5 linked regions of the Coturnix japonica genome follow. The protein of the gene in region 1 interacts with the protein of each later gene in a pairwise test. Links are inferred from orthologs where the notes say so. Each region holds a gene or a part of one and is shown in the gene's direction. Other genes may lie near its edges. The genes, in order: FAM189A2, BAG3, STAM2, WWP2 and UBQLN1.

Evidence for each region.
Region 2: the proteins of FAM189A2 (region 1) and BAG3 interact in a two-hybrid assay, tested with the Homo sapiens proteins (2 studies listed by BioGRID and IntAct). The link is inferred for Coturnix japonica from reciprocal best matches to the Homo sapiens genes ENTREP1 and BAG3.
Region 3: the proteins of FAM189A2 (region 1) and STAM2 interact in a two-hybrid assay, tested with the Homo sapiens proteins (2 studies listed by BioGRID and IntAct). The two-hybrid records come from large-scale screens. The link is inferred for Coturnix japonica from reciprocal best matches to the Homo sapiens genes ENTREP1 and STAM2.
Region 4: the proteins of FAM189A2 (region 1) and WWP2 interact in binary tests that used the Homo sapiens proteins (3 or more experiments, as listed by UniProt). The link is inferred for Coturnix japonica from reciprocal best matches to the Homo sapiens genes ENTREP1 and WWP2.
Region 5: the proteins of FAM189A2 (region 1) and UBQLN1 interact in a two-hybrid assay, tested with the Homo sapiens proteins (2 studies listed by BioGRID and IntAct). The link is inferred for Coturnix japonica from reciprocal best matches to the Homo sapiens genes ENTREP1 and UBQLN1.

The regions. Positions count from the first base shown.
Region 1 is NC_029547.1:31,114,297-31,118,493, forward strand, and holds the start of FAM189A2 (protein FAM189A2), read left to right. Parts: upstream 1-1,388; 5' UTR 1,389-1,421; coding exon 1,422-1,772; intron 1,773-3,423; coding exon 3,424-3,480; intron 3,481-4,197. UniProt on the Homo sapiens protein: Functions as an activator of the E3 ubiquitin protein ligase ITCH in the ubiquitination of the CXCL12-activated CXCR4 receptor. Thereby, triggers CXCR4 endocytosis and desensitization, negatively regulating the CXCL12/CXCR4 signaling pathway.
Region 2 is NC_029521.1:27,000,240-27,003,754, forward strand, and holds part of BAG3 (BAG family molecular chaperone regulator 3), read left to right. Parts: intron 1-737; coding exon 738-1,091; intron 1,092-3,121; coding exon 3,122-3,505; intron 3,506-3,515. UniProt on the Homo sapiens protein: Co-chaperone and adapter protein that connects different classes of molecular chaperones including heat shock proteins 70 (HSP70s), e.g. HSPA1A/HSP70 or HSPA8/HSC70, and small heat shock proteins (sHSPs), e.g. HSPB8.
Region 3 is NC_029522.1:30,567,900-30,570,642, forward strand, and holds part of STAM2 (signal transducing adapter molecule 2), read left to right. Parts: intron 1-1,137; coding exon 1,138-1,307; intron 1,308-1,649; coding exon 1,650-1,878; 3' UTR 1,879-2,743.
Region 4 is NC_029526.1:16,981,976-16,986,195, forward strand, and holds the start of WWP2 (NEDD4-like E3 ubiquitin-protein ligase WWP2), read left to right. Parts: upstream 1-1,409; 5' UTR 1,410-1,438; coding exon of another isoform or gene 1,439-1,481; intron 1,482-3,370; exon of another isoform or gene 3,371-3,371; 5' UTR 3,372-3,386; coding exon 3,387-3,456; intron 3,457-3,812; exon of another isoform or gene 3,813-3,892; intron 3,893-4,071; coding exon 4,072-4,219; intron 4,220-4,220. Other genes in the region: RNA-binding protein NOB1, read right to left, coding at 162-386, 460-597, 681-752, 828-961, 1,048-1,180, 1,275-1,346. UniProt on the Homo sapiens protein: E3 ubiquitin-protein ligase which accepts ubiquitin from an E2 ubiquitin-conjugating enzyme in the form of a thioester and then directly transfers the ubiquitin to targeted substrates.
Region 5 is NC_029547.1:36,145,644-36,149,158, reverse strand, and holds part of UBQLN1 (ubiquilin-1), read left to right. Parts: intron 1-3,224; coding exon 3,225-3,340; intron 3,341-3,515. UniProt on the Homo sapiens protein: Plays an important role in the regulation of different protein degradation mechanisms and pathways including ubiquitin-proteasome system (UPS), autophagy and endoplasmic reticulum-associated protein degradation (ERAD) pathway.

The DNA.
Region 1 (4,197 bases):
TGTAATTAGGAAACGCAAAAAGAAAGTATGCTCAAAGAAAGTGTAGGAGAATGGCAAGGCTTGGGACATCATAGAAGATTCCATCCACCAGATGAAGTGCAGAAATCCCGCTTTTATTTTTTCTAAGCAAGATGGCAGACAGATAGGGCTGCAACCTGACTTCTGATGCAGCACCCTCTGACTTTGGCTCTGTTTTGTGTGTTTGTCATGTAACATTGGGACATCTGCACTGCAGCCCAGAAATGCATGGGCACAGCATTTTGCAGGGGCCTGGTGTCTTTCAGGAATATATTTACAGTGTCTGTAAATCTATTTTAACCACATGAAAGGCAAAATCTTACAGCCATGAAGCGAGCAGCAAATCAGTTTTACAATAGCCTCACAGAAAAGGCTGAAGTTGCATGTTTACTAATCAATGAGTTGAGTTATGGGGCACAGTCATGCAGCACAGATGGCAGCAGCATTTGGGCAGCCCGCTAACCACTGGGGCATTAAATACTGCTGCTCTGGCCGGTGGCCCATAAACCCTGGCACACAGATTGTTCTGAGGTGTCTTTATTGCAAGAGGACGGCTCTGGCTGGCAAGAGATGCTTCTGGGTAAGGAGTCCTATAAATCCTGAATAGCAAGTCAGCAGAAATGCACAAAGTGTTCAATTCGAAAGCACTACCTGTAACACCAAAGGTTCTCCTTGCTTTGAATCAAAGCTTACGCACTGCTACAACGCATGTGGCACGTGTCCAGTGAAGACAGTAACGCCTTTAACACAGCTTATTTTCCTACAGTTCTAAAAGCTGGATTCTTTTTCTATCTGAGATGTGCTTTGAGTTCCTGTCCAGACCAGCCTAGCAGATACGAAGCCACACACGCTGATCAGAAGCTGGGCGCTGATCGCTGATTCCCGATCTTCCTTTCCTGGAGCATTTCAACAAGCACAGGAGCCCCATCGCAGCAGCCCTTTTTACCCCAGCAGGAGAGGACAAGGCGGACCCACCGCCCCTCGGCACCCCCTGCTTACAGAGCAGCTCGTTCCCCTCGGGCCGGGCCGCCCGCCAGCGCCGTGTAAGGCAACCCGGCGGCTTCGCGCCTCCTCCGGAGCACTTATTTTAGAACTCGGGACAACCGCGGCACGGCAGCAACCACAGGAGAAGGGGCGCGGTGCCGGGGGAGGGCGGCGGGTCGGGGGCAGCCGGAGCACCGCGATGGCCAAGGCCGACGGGCGGGGCGCGGCGGGGCGAGGCCGGGGGGCGCCGGGTGCCGTCCCCCGCAGCGAGGCGGGGAGCGGCGGATCCGCGGCACGGCCCGTCCCCGGCGGCACCTCCCGGGCGGGGCGGGGAGGGCAGAGCCACAGGAAGTCGGCGCCCGGGTGGGCTGGCACAGGGGCGGCGGAGGGCAGGCGCGGCCCGGCCGGCGGGTGCCCCGATGTCGCTGCCGGCGGTGCTGCCGGGCTCCTGCTGCCCCGTGCCGGGGCTCTCCGCCGGGTCGCCGGCCGCCGGCACCGCCATGCGGCCGCCGGGCTCGTTGCCCGCCGAGCCCTCGCTGCCGCCGCTCCGGTCCCGCCGCGCCGGCTGCCCGCGGCCGCTCCCCGCCGCCAGCTTCTCGTCCTCCCGCCGCGCCTCGGGCGCCGGGCTGCTGCCGTCGCGGCCGCTGCTGTCGCTGGGGCTGCTGCAGCTGGTGCTGGGCTGCTGCATGGTGGCGCTCAGCTTCGGGGCGCTGTCGCTGAGCGGCGCCCAGGAGGTGAAGAACGCGTGTCCCTTCTGGGCCGGCTCCTCGGTACGTCCCCGGCAGCGGGTGGCGGGATGGGACTCGTGCGCGGGGCGTGCTCGCTGCTGGCGGCTCCGAGGAGCGCCGGTACTTCCCTCCTGTTGCGTTCTGACAGCAGCCGCCGTCCGAGCGGCGGGACAAGGCCCGGGCCTCGGCTCAGCCCGGAGCGCCGCGCTCGGTGCCGGGCGGCCCGTCCGGAGCGCGTACCGTGCCTTAACCGGGCTGCAGCCCGAGCCGCGCGGATGGCGGCGTGGTGTCTGCACTGACGTTTCTGTCTTACCTTTGGCTTTCTTTCGCCTTCTTCTTTCTCGTTCCAAGTCAAAGAGAGTTTATTTAGATCTCGGCAGCCACGGGCTTTCTTTTAACCCTGTGCACAGAACCATGCTTATACTAACAAAATGTTCTGAAGCTGCACGTGTAACCTGGAAATGCCCAGTTACCTTAATAATAATAATAATAATAACAAAGACCTTTTTTCACACTAGTTCTGAAACAATGACATATTCAGTCTTAAAAAATTACCTGAAGTGTCTTCTGAGCGTAGCTGCATGAGTGAAACGTCTCGTCCAGAAGCAGTGTGGGATGCTGGGGCAGCTGTCATTCAGTATGTGCCTTTCTCTCATCTTAGGCACAGCACCCTTCTTGGGATGCACTCATGAAAGGCACTCTTGAGGGAGGCATTTCTTCCATATACCTTAAATCTTAATCATAATGAAACCAGTGTTGGCATCCCTAAGGATGCCACCCCATTCCTATATGCATTGGTGTGCTTTTTTATAAAAGCACGTGTCTATTTTGTGCTCAGAGAATTGTAAAATGTTTGTTATGAAACTGCAGCATTATGTATGTGCTTTTGCAACAGCAGTGGTGATACCAGGAGGTGTTTTGGCCAAGTCATGTATGCCTGTTATGCTAGGTCAGATCAGTCATGTCAGGTTAATGAAGCGGCTGAAGGGATTTGATAAAAATGATAGTGGGCAGCTTCCCCTTTGTGTCCCTGCTTGGCTTTGGGGTGGGAGTGCAGTCTGAACTGGCCTAGTCACAAAGGCCCCCGAACTAAAGATAGTTCCTGCTTGCACCCAGGACCAGCTGAGAAATGAGTTTGCCTTTCCTTTTGGTTCTCATTCATCCAGTGAGGAGTATCTGGGTGTGTGGTTTGCTTCGGTTCTGCAGCAGTGCTTTCTCCTTCCTTAACTGTTTTGTCCTCAGATGAAGTTGTGGGGACAGCTCGTGGTTCAGCAGGTCTGATTAGCAGCCCCTGCTGCAGAGGGGATGCTTCTGCTTGCTTTTTCCTTACACGCATGCTGCTATGCTGGCTGAGTAGCAGGAAAAGCATGTCCTAGGTTGGAAGTAACTTTTTTTTTGGCAGTTGATGGGGGTGGGAATTGCTGGCGTGACTTTCTGGACATTTTATGTGAGGAAGCAAAACAGTAGATAAAAATTTCAGTTCCAGTTGTGTTTTCCCTTGAGGTGCTCTTCGGGGTGAAGAACCTCATCAACACAGGCTCTGAGTTTCTGCTGTAGAGTGTCCCCCATGTCATCTCAGCACTGCTCTCACACTCCAAAATACTTCCCATCAGAGCAGTGGCAAATACTGTGTAAATGGCATTTTCTGAACAGTAGTTCCCTTCTTGGTAATGCTGTTTTCTTAATGTTACAGGTAATTTTATCTGGAATCATAGGGCTGACAACGTGGAAGAGGCCCATGATACTGCTGGTGAGTATGGATTAAAACTTGTTGTGAGAGAATTTTCAGCAGATGTGCAGGAATTATCAGGTTATCAGCAGTCATGTTAAACAGCTCTGCTTCTTTCTCCTTGAAAAAAAAAAACAGACCGTACTGTTGAGTCTATTTTGTAGTCTGCAGAGCTGTAATTGTTGAAGAAGTCAGATGCCATGGAAGGCTGAGTTCTTCAAACATCCTGGAGTTCTTCTAGGAGACTGATAAGAGCAGGAGAGCATCATGCCTGGAGAATGTGCTGGTGTTCACAGAACGCTTTCTGTGTAGGTATAGGAGAATACTGGTTTAATATGGATAATTCATCTCTCTGAGACAGTGCTGCTAAACCTTAGAGGCAGCTGGTTTGAAAGCTGTGCTCGTTTGACCTGTGCAAGTGTTTGATGGCAGGCTGAGCTAAGCTAAGCACTGCTGTTCTACAGTATCCAGAGTTAGTGATTCAAATACAGTTGACATTACATTGTTCTGAGAGGAGAAAATCAATGTGCAAGGGTGTGTAAGCTGTTTCTGCTTGTAAGTGAAATCTGAAGCCGGGTAGCTCTCGGAAGTCTCAGTAATGGGATTTGCATGAAAGCATTTGAAGGTGGGTTTTGTTGGTTTTGCTGGTTTTGTTTTCACTATACTATAACTTCTGAAGTACTTTCTCCAGGGAAAGCAGTTGTTTTGTCTCTTTGCAGTGTGTGTTTGGGTCATGTG
Region 2 (3,515 bases), on another chromosome or scaffold:
TAGAGATACATCTGGAACTTGGCCCTAGCTGGGCCTCAAAATAGAATGACCGATGCAGGAAGAACTTAATAGAGGACTTGGGAGGGATCTTGGTACAAAGCACTTTCCCCCTTGCCAGAGCTTTGACATTGTCCAGTGAGTGCAGTTGGCCAGCACAGGAATTAATATTATCTAACCTTCCAGCATTTTCCTCTTCATTATGTTATCCTGTTGGAATCTGCTGAAGTGGATCCTCTCTTGGCTGTGAGTATCTTCTTCAGAATGAAGCAGCAGTAACTCTAGATAGGCAGTAGGAAGCACAATACCAACAAATACTGCTCTATGATGAGATAAATCTTCTAAGTTTCTTTTCTGCTGTTATCTATAACGCTGGGTGGATTTGAAGGGGTGTTAAGGAAACATCTGTGGTCCCTGAAGCTCTCATTTAATTAGCATGGTACCAGGTGAGGCAGCTGGACTCATGGCTGTATGCAGGTAGTGAGCGCTACAGAAAATCCCTGTTGTAATGTGGTATTTTAGTGCCTCAGTTAGCATTTATCAGCACTGAGGGTGAAAGGCTCATACCTAATTGGTGTTCAGCTTCCTTTCTCCTGCCTGCTGACCTTGCACAGACCTGAGGAGCTGAGCTTCTCATGCCTGGCTGACGCTTCTTTTAGACAGACCTTTATGGCTGCTTTCTTACGTGGTATGTTGAGCTGAGCTACCAACAAATGCTATGTGATGTTTTTAATTTCTAGGATGGCCAGTCGTCAGCAAATGGCCCATCTCAAGATAGTCCCAGGCAGATGCCAGCACGGGAAGGAAACGTGGTGTACCCCAAGCTCCGGGCTGGCTACATCCCCATCCCAGTCATCCACGAGGGCATCGACAGCAGACAGCACCCATACTTTGCTGCTCCACAGCCCGGCGTACAGCGGTACAAAGCAGAAGCCGTGCCCACCACAGCGCAGGCACAGCCACCACTGAGGGGGGCCTATGCCAGCCCTGAGTCCCCTCATAGGGGGCCGGCTGAGGCTTCCCAGGCAGATAAACAATGTGGACAGACAACAGCAGCTGCAGCAGCCCCAGCTCCAGCGACACACGGACCTGAGGTAACTCGGCAGTACTGCTGGGGTGTGTGTGCCTTGGTCTCTGCGGCCATGTATGACCTGACTGTCACACGAGTACTTTATCCTTTGGAAAGCCAAACCTGCCACAGGATTACATTTTCCCAATACTTCCACAGTGTTGAAATACAAAAGTGCTCAGTCACTTCAGCAGAAGTGTTTCACATTTTTCCGGCATTGACAGCTTTTGTTATCAAGTGATTTGCACAGAAACAAGCCTGTGAAAATTTTCTCTATAAAAAAGCCTGTGAATGGTGCAGGTGCTCCTGCGGCAGGTGAGGGCTGTTGTAGGGTTTAGAGTGGTTACTCTGCAAGCTGGGAATGCAGGCAGATCTCTTGCATTCCCTATGTGGGAAACAGGTGAGCAAGGGGAGAGACACAAAATACAAGTGTCCCATTAGCTGACAGCTTAGGCTGTTTCAGAAACAGGGCTATTCTGCTTTCCAGTTTAATACTCTGGTTTTATTAATTGTATAGATCTGCATACACAGATTTAGAAGTGAATTCGGAAATATTTTTGTTGTTATTTTGTAGTATGTTATAATACATGAACTGCTTTAAAAAGAGTCACCCTCCTTGCTTTGCTTTTCAAAAGGCAGGATTTTGGTTTGTCTGTTATCTCCTCAGAATTAGCAGGAGCAGTATTCTTGTAATAGGCTGAAGCACTAATCTCACTTCTGTTCCAAGTAAAATAAGCAGGAAATCGAGCCTCTATCAGCATGAAAACACATGGGGAATTTTTCATGTCGGCAGTGGCAGATATTTTTCTAAAACCTGTTTTTGTGTCTGAACAAGACAATTAAAATCCTGTTCGCAGTTTTCCTCAGTTGTTGCTGCTTTATCCATGAAGTGCAAGGATGGGAGGCTTAGTTCTTCCTTCTCTCAACTTAATGCAGCTGGGAATATACTTTTGTATTACATGCAGAATTGCTTCAGAAAAGTCTTCTCCATCTCATGTGCTCTGAGATAACTGCTGAGGACTGGAGAAGCTGCCATCACAAACTTAGGTGGCATGGGCACTAACTGACCAGGGCACTGACACAGCAGTGCTGGTGCCTGTAGAAAAAGTAGCATTTATTTATAGCTGCTGAGCTGCAGAGGTGAGCATTAACTAGCACAAAAGACATCTTGTTCCCTATCCTTTCTCACCTTGCCTGCCTACTTGTTGCTTCCAGCTACATTGTCCTGCTCTCCCTCCTGTGCTAACTCCAGTCTTACCTGGCCTGTCACTGAGATATCAATAAACCTGTCAGGAAATAATTTTTCCTCTCCTTCATGGGTTAAAGTATAGAGAATAGTCCATAGTAGGTGAGTTGATGGACTGGCACAGCAGGAGTAGAGAAGGAGTGAGCTGTGAGCAAATAAACTGCCTTTCCCCAGATGCTGTGGAACCATAACCTGAAATACCAGAAGCTGAATTGTGGTGTATCCCCAGCACTTGCTCCTGCTTACAGCAAATCTACACTAGTGCAGCTATCACTCCTGGTGCCAACAGGGCTGATGTGCTGGAAGGTCTCGTGAGGGGTCAAGGGGCATTAGCCACACATAGCAGGCTTTGGCAGTGCACTAAATTACATGCTTAAAGAAGTAAATAAATCTGTTAGCATGAGTGGGATCAGAAGTCTGAACTTTGTGTGCCTCTGAGTAGTTTGTTTTTTGTCTGCAGTACATAATTTGTTTGCTTAACTTTAGTTTGCCTCACATTTAACAGGTTTAGACAGGAGTAGCCATGTAAAAACAGAAAACATTCTGAGTGAGCATCCACTCCCTGCTTACTTGAGGGCTGGGAATGCTGTAGCTCAGGTTATTACTTGTTATAATGATGCTCTCTCACAACTTCTGTGGTTTGTCTAGCAAGGCAAAAAAAAATAGAACACAAACCAACACAAACCCAAACCAAGGACGTAGATCTTTTGTATGTGGGAACACAAATTCAGTTTCCATTTCTCTTTGAAAATGAAAAGTGCTATGAGCTGAAACAGCTGATTTAATAATGGATTTTGTTTTCATGGCAGCCTCAGTCTCCTGGAGCTTCTGATTCTCAAACGGTTCCACCTCAGTCATCTGGCAGATCCAATTCAGGAAGCCATCAGCTTCCCCGTGGCTATATTTCAATTCCTGTGATCCATGAAAATATCCAAAGGCAACCACCGCAAGGCTACCATCAGGCCCAGAAGACACACTACCCTGCCCAGCAGAGTGAATTCCAAGCCCACCAACCTGTATTTCCCAGAATTCAACCAGATGACAGGGAGCCTAAGACAGCACGAGCACAGTCTCCATTCAGAGCCACTCAGAGAGGGGCATCAAGTCGTGAGAGTTCACCTGCCAGAATTATCACCCAGCAGGTACAGCCCTCGACTCCCATCACAGTACAGACGGTCGTAGACAGACCTCAGGTATGTAGAG
Region 3 (2,743 bases), on another chromosome or scaffold:
CTAATAGGGATGTGAGTGAACTTTAATATTAGTGCATTAATCACGAGTGCAGTGCACTTTTGCTAAGTATAAAAACCTTGGTCTGGTTTTAGCTCACGATTTCCTAAGGCGAGGGGCTGGGAAGAGTATTACATTAGTGGGTGTAGTTGCTCAAAATTGACTTACAGTATCTCTAGGGTGCTACATTGGTGTTCTAAGGAAACAAAGATGAGAAGAAAGAGAGATTTTAAAGGTCTTTTTTTTTACAGGAAGCATAGAGTGAGTGGTTTTACTTCTAGTGAATTTTATTTAATGTTAATTGTTCCCTAGGAAAAGAATAGTTGCTATAGCAACTGCTAGATCTGAAAATGTCAGTTTGAAGTAATTCTGTATCCTTAACTTCTGGTTATGGTGGAAAATATCATTGTATTTGGAGGTTAAAAAGTAACTGAAGCCAAAAGGCAACAGGAGTTTACTTGTTCTTTCAAAGGGAATGCGCCCAGCAGTGAAACACAGAAGATAATGGTATTTGTGCTGGGCCTAGTATTGACTCAAGTGTCTGTTCCTTTGGTGTCGATACGCAGCCATACTGAGTCCAGAAGCAGTGGGCAGTGTAGCCTTGTGTTAGCAGGTTCTACCGCTCGTTTGATCAGATTTGAGTAAAGACTTAACTTAAACTAGAAATATGAGAAAGCGAAGTTTTTGCTTTCCTTCTCTTGTAATCTGGGACTATTTGTACATTTTGCTATTTTATACATTTTGGGGAATCAAATTTTGTATGGTGCTCATCTTCCTGCTCAAAATATGCTGAGGACTGAAAGACAAGGCAAACTGGTGGAAAAGAAATAAGGTTTCTGGGAGGTGGAAGAGTGGTGTTAATGAGCAAAAGGGTTGTTCTCAGATAAATGACCACAGACCTTGTTAGCAGTGCGTTTTTGAAAGAGATGCCTGGTGATGGAAGAAAGGATGTCTGTTAGAAACCCATACGTGTGTTAGGAGAAGTTGTGTGTTTTATTGTTAGACCCGAGGTAGGAAAATAAATTCAGAATCAGTTTGTTCAGACTTTGAACCCTAAAGTATTTATTCATTGCAGTTGTATTCTGTGCTACATTTACTGCTACTTAAATAAGTTATATCTTTATTATTATTATTATTTAGCCGTATCCTGTACAGCCACCTAGTGGGAACTACATGATCCAAGGTGTTCACCAGGTCACCGTTTCTCAAGGTTATGGCCTAGGACCTGACCAGATGGGGCAGCTCAGGTCTCTGCCTCAAAATATCAATTCGTCTGGAGCAACTCAGCCTGTACAAACTGCTTATTTAAGGTATCAGTCATTTCAGCGAACTCTTACGTTACCCTTTGCATAGAATTGCACAATGGGTTGGGCTGGAAGGAGCTGCATAGACCATCCACTTCCAATCCGCAGCCATGGGCAGGGGTAACTGTCACCAGGCCATGATGCCCAGAGCTCTGTGCATGTGCAACACCTCCAGAGATGGAGCTGGGCAGCAGTGCCACAGCCTCACCACCCTCCTAGAGGCTGCAGCTCTGGGGTGTTTACAGTGATGTGTAAGTCTGAAAACATTCGTACAGCTAAGAAAAAATTCTTATCGGAGAACCAGTTTTGTGAGCTTGTAACAGTTGGATTTGCTTTGTTTTGTTACAGCCCAGGACCAGACTCTGTGTTAAACCAGACGTTCGTGACCCAGAGCCCCGGCCTTCCTGCAGCTGCCAGCACAGCAGTGTACAGCCAGCAGCAAATGGGCTCAGTGGATATGGCTGCTTACCAGAGTAACACGTCAAGTTTGCCTCAAGGACCGGGTTATCCCATGGCAGTTCCTGCTCATTCCGTTCTACAGCAACAAACCAACTACCACCAACAGCCTCTCCTTTAAAAACAGACCAGGCTTGTTTCCAAAATAATGAAGAGTGATTGCTGAATCTAATGGTTTTTATTAATACCTGTCACAGATATCAAAATACATTTTCTTTAAAATAACCCAACTTAGGGGTGATGCTGAGTAGCAGTATGCATCGGATCTGATTGTTAATCATTTCCTTAATGATAGTTTGAACAAGATGAGCCGATGATTTAAAATAATTTCACATTGCTTTGAGCCCTTGTTTCAGTGGTTTCAATGAAAGAAAAGCCATTTGTGTGTCTGAATTCAAGTAAAAACATGTCCAAAATTAATTTTATGTGTTTCTAGAAACGCGAGGATGCATAGTGATGCATAGTCACTGTTATGTGTTGCTCTCGTTACGCATCGTCTCCTCTGGTGTCTCGCTGTAATCTTTCCATCCAAGTAGCTTTAAAGAGCTTCTGCTGATTTAGACACCTCCTCTCCGTGCTGCCATAGTGAGCTTTACAGTATGGTGTGTGCTGCATAATTGGAACAGCTGCACAAGTGAAGCAGATGAGAGCTGGAAGAGAAAATGATTTGATACTGTGACAGAGAACCGCGTACTTACAGATATAGGAGAAATGACGTTTTTATAGCACTGCCTGTTGGATTTTGGGAAACTGCAGCTCCTGATGTGTTTCTCTTGAAAGAAACTGGGAATGGGGCAGTTGATGCTTGAGCTCTCTTGTGGCTTTGGGCGCAGGTGGGACAGCAAGCACATGATGCCTTTGCACAAGCACGCAAGGGATGCTCCCAGCGGCCTGTGTGGGTACTCTGGATACACGGTGCTGAGCCAGAAACTTGCACAGAATATCTATTCTTTTCCTTTTTTGTTGTTGTTGTATGTAGAAGTGAA
Region 4 (4,220 bases), on another chromosome or scaffold:
ATGGGCTCTGGGTAGGCGCTGCTGTGGTACAGCTGCTGCTGTGGGGAGAACTGACAGCTTTGAACACAAAAGAAAGCATCGCAGGTTGACTTTTGTATGGTACGTGTGTGGGATCAACCGAGCTGTGTGCTGGAGACAGGGCCATGTGAGGCAGCACTCACCTGCATGGAGAAGTCTGTGGTGACACAGCCGACCTGCACGTTGGCAGGCACGGTGTCGCAGTGCCCCGTGTCCTGCTGGACCTGCTTGAGGTTGCTTGGCGTTATCCAGCCCTCGTCATCATCGCTCCCTTCATCCTCATCCTCTTCCTCCTCGGCACCATCCCCATCCTCTGAGCTCTGACACTCGTCGGTGGCTGCCGGGCTGCTGGAGGTGCTGTGTGTTTTCTGCAGAGATGGGCAGTTGGTGCCGTGTATGCCAATAAGCTGGGATGTGGGGCAGTGAGCACAGCAGCCTCACCAGCATCTCCTGGAGCTCGTCCTCGATGTCGGGCAGGGGCAGCCTCCAGTAGAGGAAGGAGCTGAACTCAGCACTGTCAGGCAGCTCCGTGCTGCTGTCGTGGCCGTGCTGCTGCTGGCTCTTCCGCGGGCGTTTGTGCTGGGGGAGACACAGCAGCCCCGGGCTCCACATCCCCGCTCCTCTCACCCCTCACCCCCCTTTGTCCCCATCACCCCCTGTACCTTGGTGGGCAGGTGGAAGCCGGCGATGTGCAGCGTGGCCTCGGGGTGACACGGGCTGGAGCTGAGCTGCACCTGTGGGCAGCGCCGGGATCAGCAGCGCCCGCAGCCCAGCCCAGCCCCATCCCATCCCATCCCATCCCCCGTTACCTTGTCCGGGGGCTGCAGGCGGACGCTGCCCGGCCCTGTGATCTCGTCCTGCATCTGGCAGGTGAGCGCCAGCACCTGCAGGTCGGCGGCCGACAGGCTGGGGAAGTCCCCGGTGCGCTTGGCGAACTCGGTGACTGCGGGACGGGGCGGAAGAGGCCGTTACCCCCATTATCCGTTACCCGTTATCCGTTACCCATTATACCCGCCCCCCGTCACTCACCGTTCCGCACATACTCAGCCCTCGGTCGGCGGAGCTGCAGTTCGTAGGGCAGCGCTGCCAGGCGGCGCCGCGCCCGCCGGTCCCGGATCTCGGCCAGCACCTCGGGCACGGTGTACACGCTGCGCGCCACGTCCTGCGGGCGGAACAAGGCTCAGCCCGTGCCCGGAGCGGCCCCCAGCCCCGACCCCGTTCCGGACCCGCCCCATCCGGCCGCTCTCGGTCCGTACCTGCAGCGCGGCACCGCTCAGGAACGCGCCGGTATCGGCCACCACGTGCGGCACGCGGCCCATGTCCGCCATGTTGGCTGCGTCCCTCTGCGCCGCGCGGGGGCTGACGGGAGGGCGGCGCGGGGCAACTTCCGGGCGGCGCGGTCAGGTGCGCGCGGGGTCACATGACGGCGGAGCTGCAACCGGAAGCGGGAGAGCGGAGGAGCGGTGAGAGCGGGAGGGGAGACGGTGTAACGGGGTGTAACGGGGTGTAACGGGGTGTAACGGGGTGTGATGTGACGGTGTAACGGTGTAACGGGGTGTGATGGGGTGTAACGGTGTAACGGTCGGGCTGCGGGCAGCTGCTCCGCTCCGCTTTACCGGCAGCGGCTGCCGGCCAACAGAGGGGAAGCCCGGCGGGGCGGCCCGTGGCACCGGCTGTGGGGGCTGAGGGGCGGCACCAGGTACCGGGCTCCGGGCGCTGCCTCACACCGCGCGGTGCCGGTTCGGTCCCGGTTCCCGGTTTTGGGCGCAGCTCTGAAGCTCAGCGCGGTGCAGCGCTGCGCCACGGCTGTGCCGGTGTCCTGATGTCCCGGTGTCCTGATGTCCCGGTGTCCTGATGTCCCGGTGTCCTGGCTGTCCCCGCTGTCCCGTGCCGGGCGCTGCCCGGTGTCCCGCAGTGCGGGTCGCGGTGGCCGCTCTCGGGCGGGTGACGCTGCGGCTCCACGGGACACAGCGGGAGAGGACGAGGCTCCGTGTGTGCGGTGACGGGTTGGAACGAACGAGTTTGGTGAGCGATGAGTCCGAGCCGGGTCGGCTCCCGTGGCAAAGCCTGGGCTGCGCTGTGACTGTGCACTGCGGGGCTGCGGGTGGTGCCTGAATCTGACGGAGCAGCGCGGAGCCCCAGGTCCCGGTGAGGTGGGTCTGTGCTGTGGGGCTGTTGGTGGAGCAACAAGTGCCCCCGGGAGGAGCTCAGTGCTCACTGCCCCATCCTGCTCAGGGCTCGGTGTCAGGCCACCTCGTTCCGTGGGCCTGGATAGTGTTTGTAATGAAGTAAGTGATGGTGTGGAATCAGCCAGCAGTATCCTGGGGGGTGATCTGTGGGCCGGAGTAATGGAGTTGGAATAACTTGTAATAGTATCACAGTCAGTCTTGGACATGACCACAGCCTGTAGCTGGCTCCCAGCTGCCAGAGAGGATGGAGGGGCTCCTTGCCATCCCCTGCTCACCTCTCGTACCCCAGCAGTGCATTCCCAGGGAGGCTGTGTGAGGCCTCCAGGCTCAGCCTTGTGCCAGGCTGGTGTCAGGAGGGGTTTAAAAGGAGTTGGCAGGGGTTGAGGAGGGCCCCGTGAGAGCAGTGTGGTACCATAGCTGACTGCTGGTGTCAGACTGAGCACCTCGTGCTCCTGCGTGATCCCTGACCATGGGGTTTTCCTTTATGGTCAGGCATTTCAGTAGGAAACCTGCAGCCTCTGCCACGTGGGGAGCTCCAGGGGAAAGCTGTGGCAGATGGGGGAGAGGGAAGTGCTGTGGCTGCTGTCAGCGATGCAGTGCCCCAGCAAAAGGAAGTGGTGAGTGCTGGGAAGGTGCAGGCCGTGCTGGGGTCCGGCCCTGAGGTTGGAGAGTCTGCAATTCCCCTCCGTGCTGAGCTGCAGCTCCGCAGTGTGTTGGAGTAGGGAGGACCAATTTTTCCATGGTGTTTTGCTGCCTGGCAGCCACTTGGGCTGTCCTTGAGGGACATGCAGCTCTGCTGTGCTGTGAGCAGACCCAGCTCATGGTGCTGCTGTCTCATCCTTTCCAAGGGATCTCACGTACCATACTGTGCCCTCACCTGCAGACTTTGGTTTTCGTTTGGTGTTCGGCAGCACTGGAGGTTGCTCTGTCCCCATGGCCAGAGTCAGCAGCAGCCTCGGGGTTGGGGTGAGGTGGAGTTGCTCACAAGGCTGCCTGCAGGCTGCTGCCCCAAGTGGCTGTGTGCTCTTATGGCTGTGTGCTCTTATGGCTGTGTGCTCTTATGGCTGTGTGCTCTTTCTGCTGTGTGCAGTGCTGGACACAGGATATCTTTGGGCCCCAACTCAGCGTCGGTGCTGAGTCCCCATCTCTCTCTCTCCCTTCCAGGCCGGGGGTGATGACATGGCCTCTGCAAGCTCCAGCAGGGCCAGGGCAGGGCTGCCCTGTGAGAAGTCCCAGCTCTCTGTGAAAGGTGAGTCCTGTGCAGGGCTGGGAGCTGGGCTTTGGGTGCACCCAGGTGGGGGACCTTGGGGTTCCTTGGTGGGGAGGGGCCGTGTTCCAGGCTCTGTGGTGCATGCAGCCTTTACCAGGCCTTGGTGCTGGTGGCCTCTGGAAGCAGAGCGCTGCCTGTGGGGGGCTCTGCCTCCTCTGCTGGGATGTGGCTCCGTGGCTCTGCCAGGGCGGTGTTTGTCCTGCAGTGGCCACGAGATGGCTCCAGATGCTCGGAGCTGTGTCCCAGCACTGCCCACAGCCCTCTGGTCCAGGCATGGCCATCTAGAGAGTGGCAATTCTCCCTGGCCAACTGCCTCCTTCCCTTGGCTCCTGCAGAACCCCTGTGTCCCTGGCTTGTCATAGAGCACGGGCTTTCTCATCAGGCTCCTGGGGCTGGGAGCAGCTGAACAGGGATGGTAGGTGTCTGTGGGGTGAAATGGGAGTGGGTGAAGCATGAGCGGGGCTGTCTCAGCCCAGTGCTGTCCCCTTCCCAGAGCATTGGTGGCAGAGATGGGGTGTGTAAGTGTGAGGCAGTGTCCTCGGGCAGGGGCTGTGGCTGTGGGGCTGCTGCTTGACCCCTGCCTGTCCCACTCAGTGGTGTCCGTGAAGCCCAAGGCCCACAGCCGCCAGTCACGGATGAACTGCTACGTGGAGGTGGCGGGCGATGGGCTGCCCAGCGAGACCAAGAAGACGGGAAAGCAGATGGGGAGCTCTGAGCTGCTGTGGAATGAGATCCTCATCCTG
Region 5 (3,515 bases), about 5.0 Mb from region 1:
TTGAGCAGTATTACTTTTGGGACATTAAAAAAGAAAAAAATAGGGGAGAAACATTTCTGTTTTGGAGAGAGAGAAAGGAAGGAAAGTCCTTGAAGGAGAACTACTCTAGTGCAACCAACTTGTTTGCCTGAGCAGAAAGACTTTTTTTGAGATATTTTGATGAGGCTGCTTCTAAACGACAGTGAGAAAGATGCATAAATCTACAAATTACTTGTGAAGTGTCCTGAAGGAACAGCTGACTGAAAATCATTTTTGTCAACTAGGGTAAGGTATACCTCATTTGTATCTAGATTATATAGTCAATAACATGTTTGTTCTAGTCTGAAAGCATTCTTCCTATTCTTATGTCTGTCCTGTTTGTGTCAAGGATCTTCTGTGGGAGAAGGTCAGATGTTGGAGGGAAACAGCATGAAAGCAGTAAGAAGAAAAAAGAAATACGCTTCCCCCTCTTAGGCCTCACTAGCATTATCCTGACTTTCAAGCACCTGTTGAAATGTAGGCCTGATAAGCAATAGTGATATTGTATGCAGTATAATCTAGTACTGTAATATTCTCCATGTTTCTGAACAGTACTCTGCTGTTGCTATGACTTCTTCTCTTTTTAATTTAGTCTCTTGAGTGCGATAGGGAAGTTTCATAAACCATGGTAGTAGTGATAATATATCTTTGACTTGCACATTCCTCTGTGTATTCATAAATTGGACTTAACAGTAGTTGTAAGTACTAAATCAAAGTACTGAAATAGCAGTGCTAGTCAGTCTCTTGTACCTTCTCACGCTTTGCCTCTGACCAATTCTAGGTGCAATGTCACGTTGTTTTTACAAGGTTGTTTTGTTTTTGTTTTTTTGCCTTCAAGAAGTCTTGATGTCCCTGCATGAATTCTCTCAGCATTTCTGTCCACATCATATTCTATCACATCTTATCCCAGTCTCCCACAGTGTAATGCAGTTTACGCTGGCTGGCTTAATGTGGCTAGTAGAGTTTCAAAGTAGCAGTTGTTAGCAGTAGATAGTGAAGATATAATGAATTTCTGAAAATGAAGGTTCATGTAAGCACTGTTTTAGGTGCTTGCAAGCTGATAAGGGGCCATCATGGTAAAGTAGACTTAAAACATAGACTTGCATTTTCACTAAAAGGCTTGAAGCTGAAAGACTTGAGATATAACCAGTGTGTTTATATACCTCCGTTTCCAAATAGAAACATGTTGAAATGCTTTACAGGCATGTCCTGTTTTCTGTTTTACTTTGAGACCCACCAACTGAGAATAGCTCAGGTTCTTCAGAATAGCTGAAGAACCAAGTAAAGATTTATGCTTATATTATGCTTTTTTCTTACAAAGAAAATATTTGTGTATTTTCTTAGGCTAAAAAACCCCAAATGTCTTCATTAGGAAGTTTATATTAAGTATAAGTGCCTTTGCAGTCTATGATCTTTGTGACAGCTGCTTGGCTTGTTGCACTGATTACATGGTCTGATAGTGACAGGACAAATAGGATTGATTTTTAAAGTAAAAGAGGGGATAGTTTTGATTAGATGATAGGAGGAAATGCTTTATTCAGAGGATGGTGAGGCTGTAGTTGCCCAAAGAAGCTGAGGATGTCCCACCCCTGGAGGCATTCAGGGTCAGATTGGATGGGCCTGGGCAGCCTGATCTAGTGGGTAGCAGCCTTGTCCATGACAGGGAAGTTGGAAACTAGATCATATTTAAGGTCCCTTCCAGCCTAAGCCATTGTATGCAGCTGTGATTGTACTGGTCTTGGTGTTCAAAGTTGTCAGTTGCTCTTAAGCACAAATAGTCTGCAACATTGTTCTCAGGAACCCAGAGTATTACCCACTGCCTTCTTTCAGGAAGCCATATTACAAGCCCAAGTACACCTTTCTGGGGTTGTTAGTGTATATCTGGGATCTTCCCTCTAGAACAAGTTTTCCTTCAATAGTTTCTGTGAGTGCTTTTGTAGACTTGGAATTCTCTTATTAGAGTACAAATAAAAATAAGCAAAACTGAATTATATGAATCATTATGGACTGAAGTGTTAGGACAAAAATTAACGTCTCCTTCACTACAGTGGAACATCAGTAGCAATTGTAATGAAGTTGCGAAGTCCTGTTGTACCCTCAGTGTTCATGACTCAACATGCTACTGTTTTCAGGGGTGTTGATGGAACCTTTTATAAGGTAATACTGATGAGTTGATGGAAGAACTTGCAAAATCTGCAAAGCATTTCATTGTTGGTTTGGCTTTTGATTTTAGCAACAGAGCACTCTTAGATACTTCAGGGAAGCCTCTGTACTAAAGACATCTGTCTGACTTGTATGGGTTGTTGGTTTTTTTTGTTTGTTTGTTTTTGTTTTGACTGTGAGTTATTGAAGCAAGTACAGAAAAACGTTACTGAGATGAACTGATCTGTAGAATTTAGCATTATCGTCTAACCTTCAAGTCTTTGTGGAAGGTCTGCATGCATAGATTCTACAAATTATCTTACACTAATTCTGTAATTTTTCAAATGCAGATATTTATGTGATTGTTTAATGAACCAGCTTTAGCAAGTGAGCTGGGCTTAAATCTTGCATCATTGAGTAGAGGCTAGGTTAGCTTTGAATCAGCTGAGTTCTTTGATCTCTTACACCATACGTCAGCACCAATACCATTGCCTCTACTAGAGACAAGTGTAGTGAGCATGTGAATTAGGCAGCTGATTTTACTCCATTCTTAGTTATGAAGATTACTGAAATTCTGGTGCTTGTCTTGTAATAAGACCATAATAGAATTTCACATTGAGTAAGCCATCCTTACTGAATCCTTTATGGGATATGTTAGATTTTATGTGACTTCATTTCTTCAAGACTCAAGCATATAATCACTATTGTCTAATGGCTGTCAAATAAGGTTGGGTAAGGCAAAGAATCCCTGAAGCAAGGTAAAGACTCAGAAAGCAATGCACTGTCAGGTATCTCTGGGGTTGTATGAGGAGGTGGTAGTGGCTGCAGTGATGCCCATCCATTTTTGTAACGGTTGAAACTTCTGAAAAACAGATGATGTTACAGATGTCTGAGAGACTTACTACAGGAAGCTATCCAGAGAGATGCAATTCTGAAAAATTATAAAATGAGTAATAAAATGAAAAACTAAGTTTCCCAAGTATGACACCCATGATATGTTTAATGAAATTAGTTAAATTGATTTGCTACATTTGTAACTTTGAAACTGTCTTTTTGGTTTTTAGATCACAAGACCACCAAGCTCAGCAAACACACACCAGTGGGAGTGCTGATACCACATCAGCATCAAGCAGTAGTACCTCAACATCAACTTCAACAAATAGTAATCCTTTTGGCTTGGGTAAGAAAGTCTGTTATCCCTCATGGTCGGAGCGGTGGAGTACCTTTTCTACAAAGAAAGGCTGAGGAAGTTGAACTTTTTCACTCTACAGAAAAGAAGGCTTCAGGAAGATGAGATTGTGTCCTTCCAGTACTTAAAGGGAACTTTTAAGTGGGAAGAAGACCAGCTTTTTACA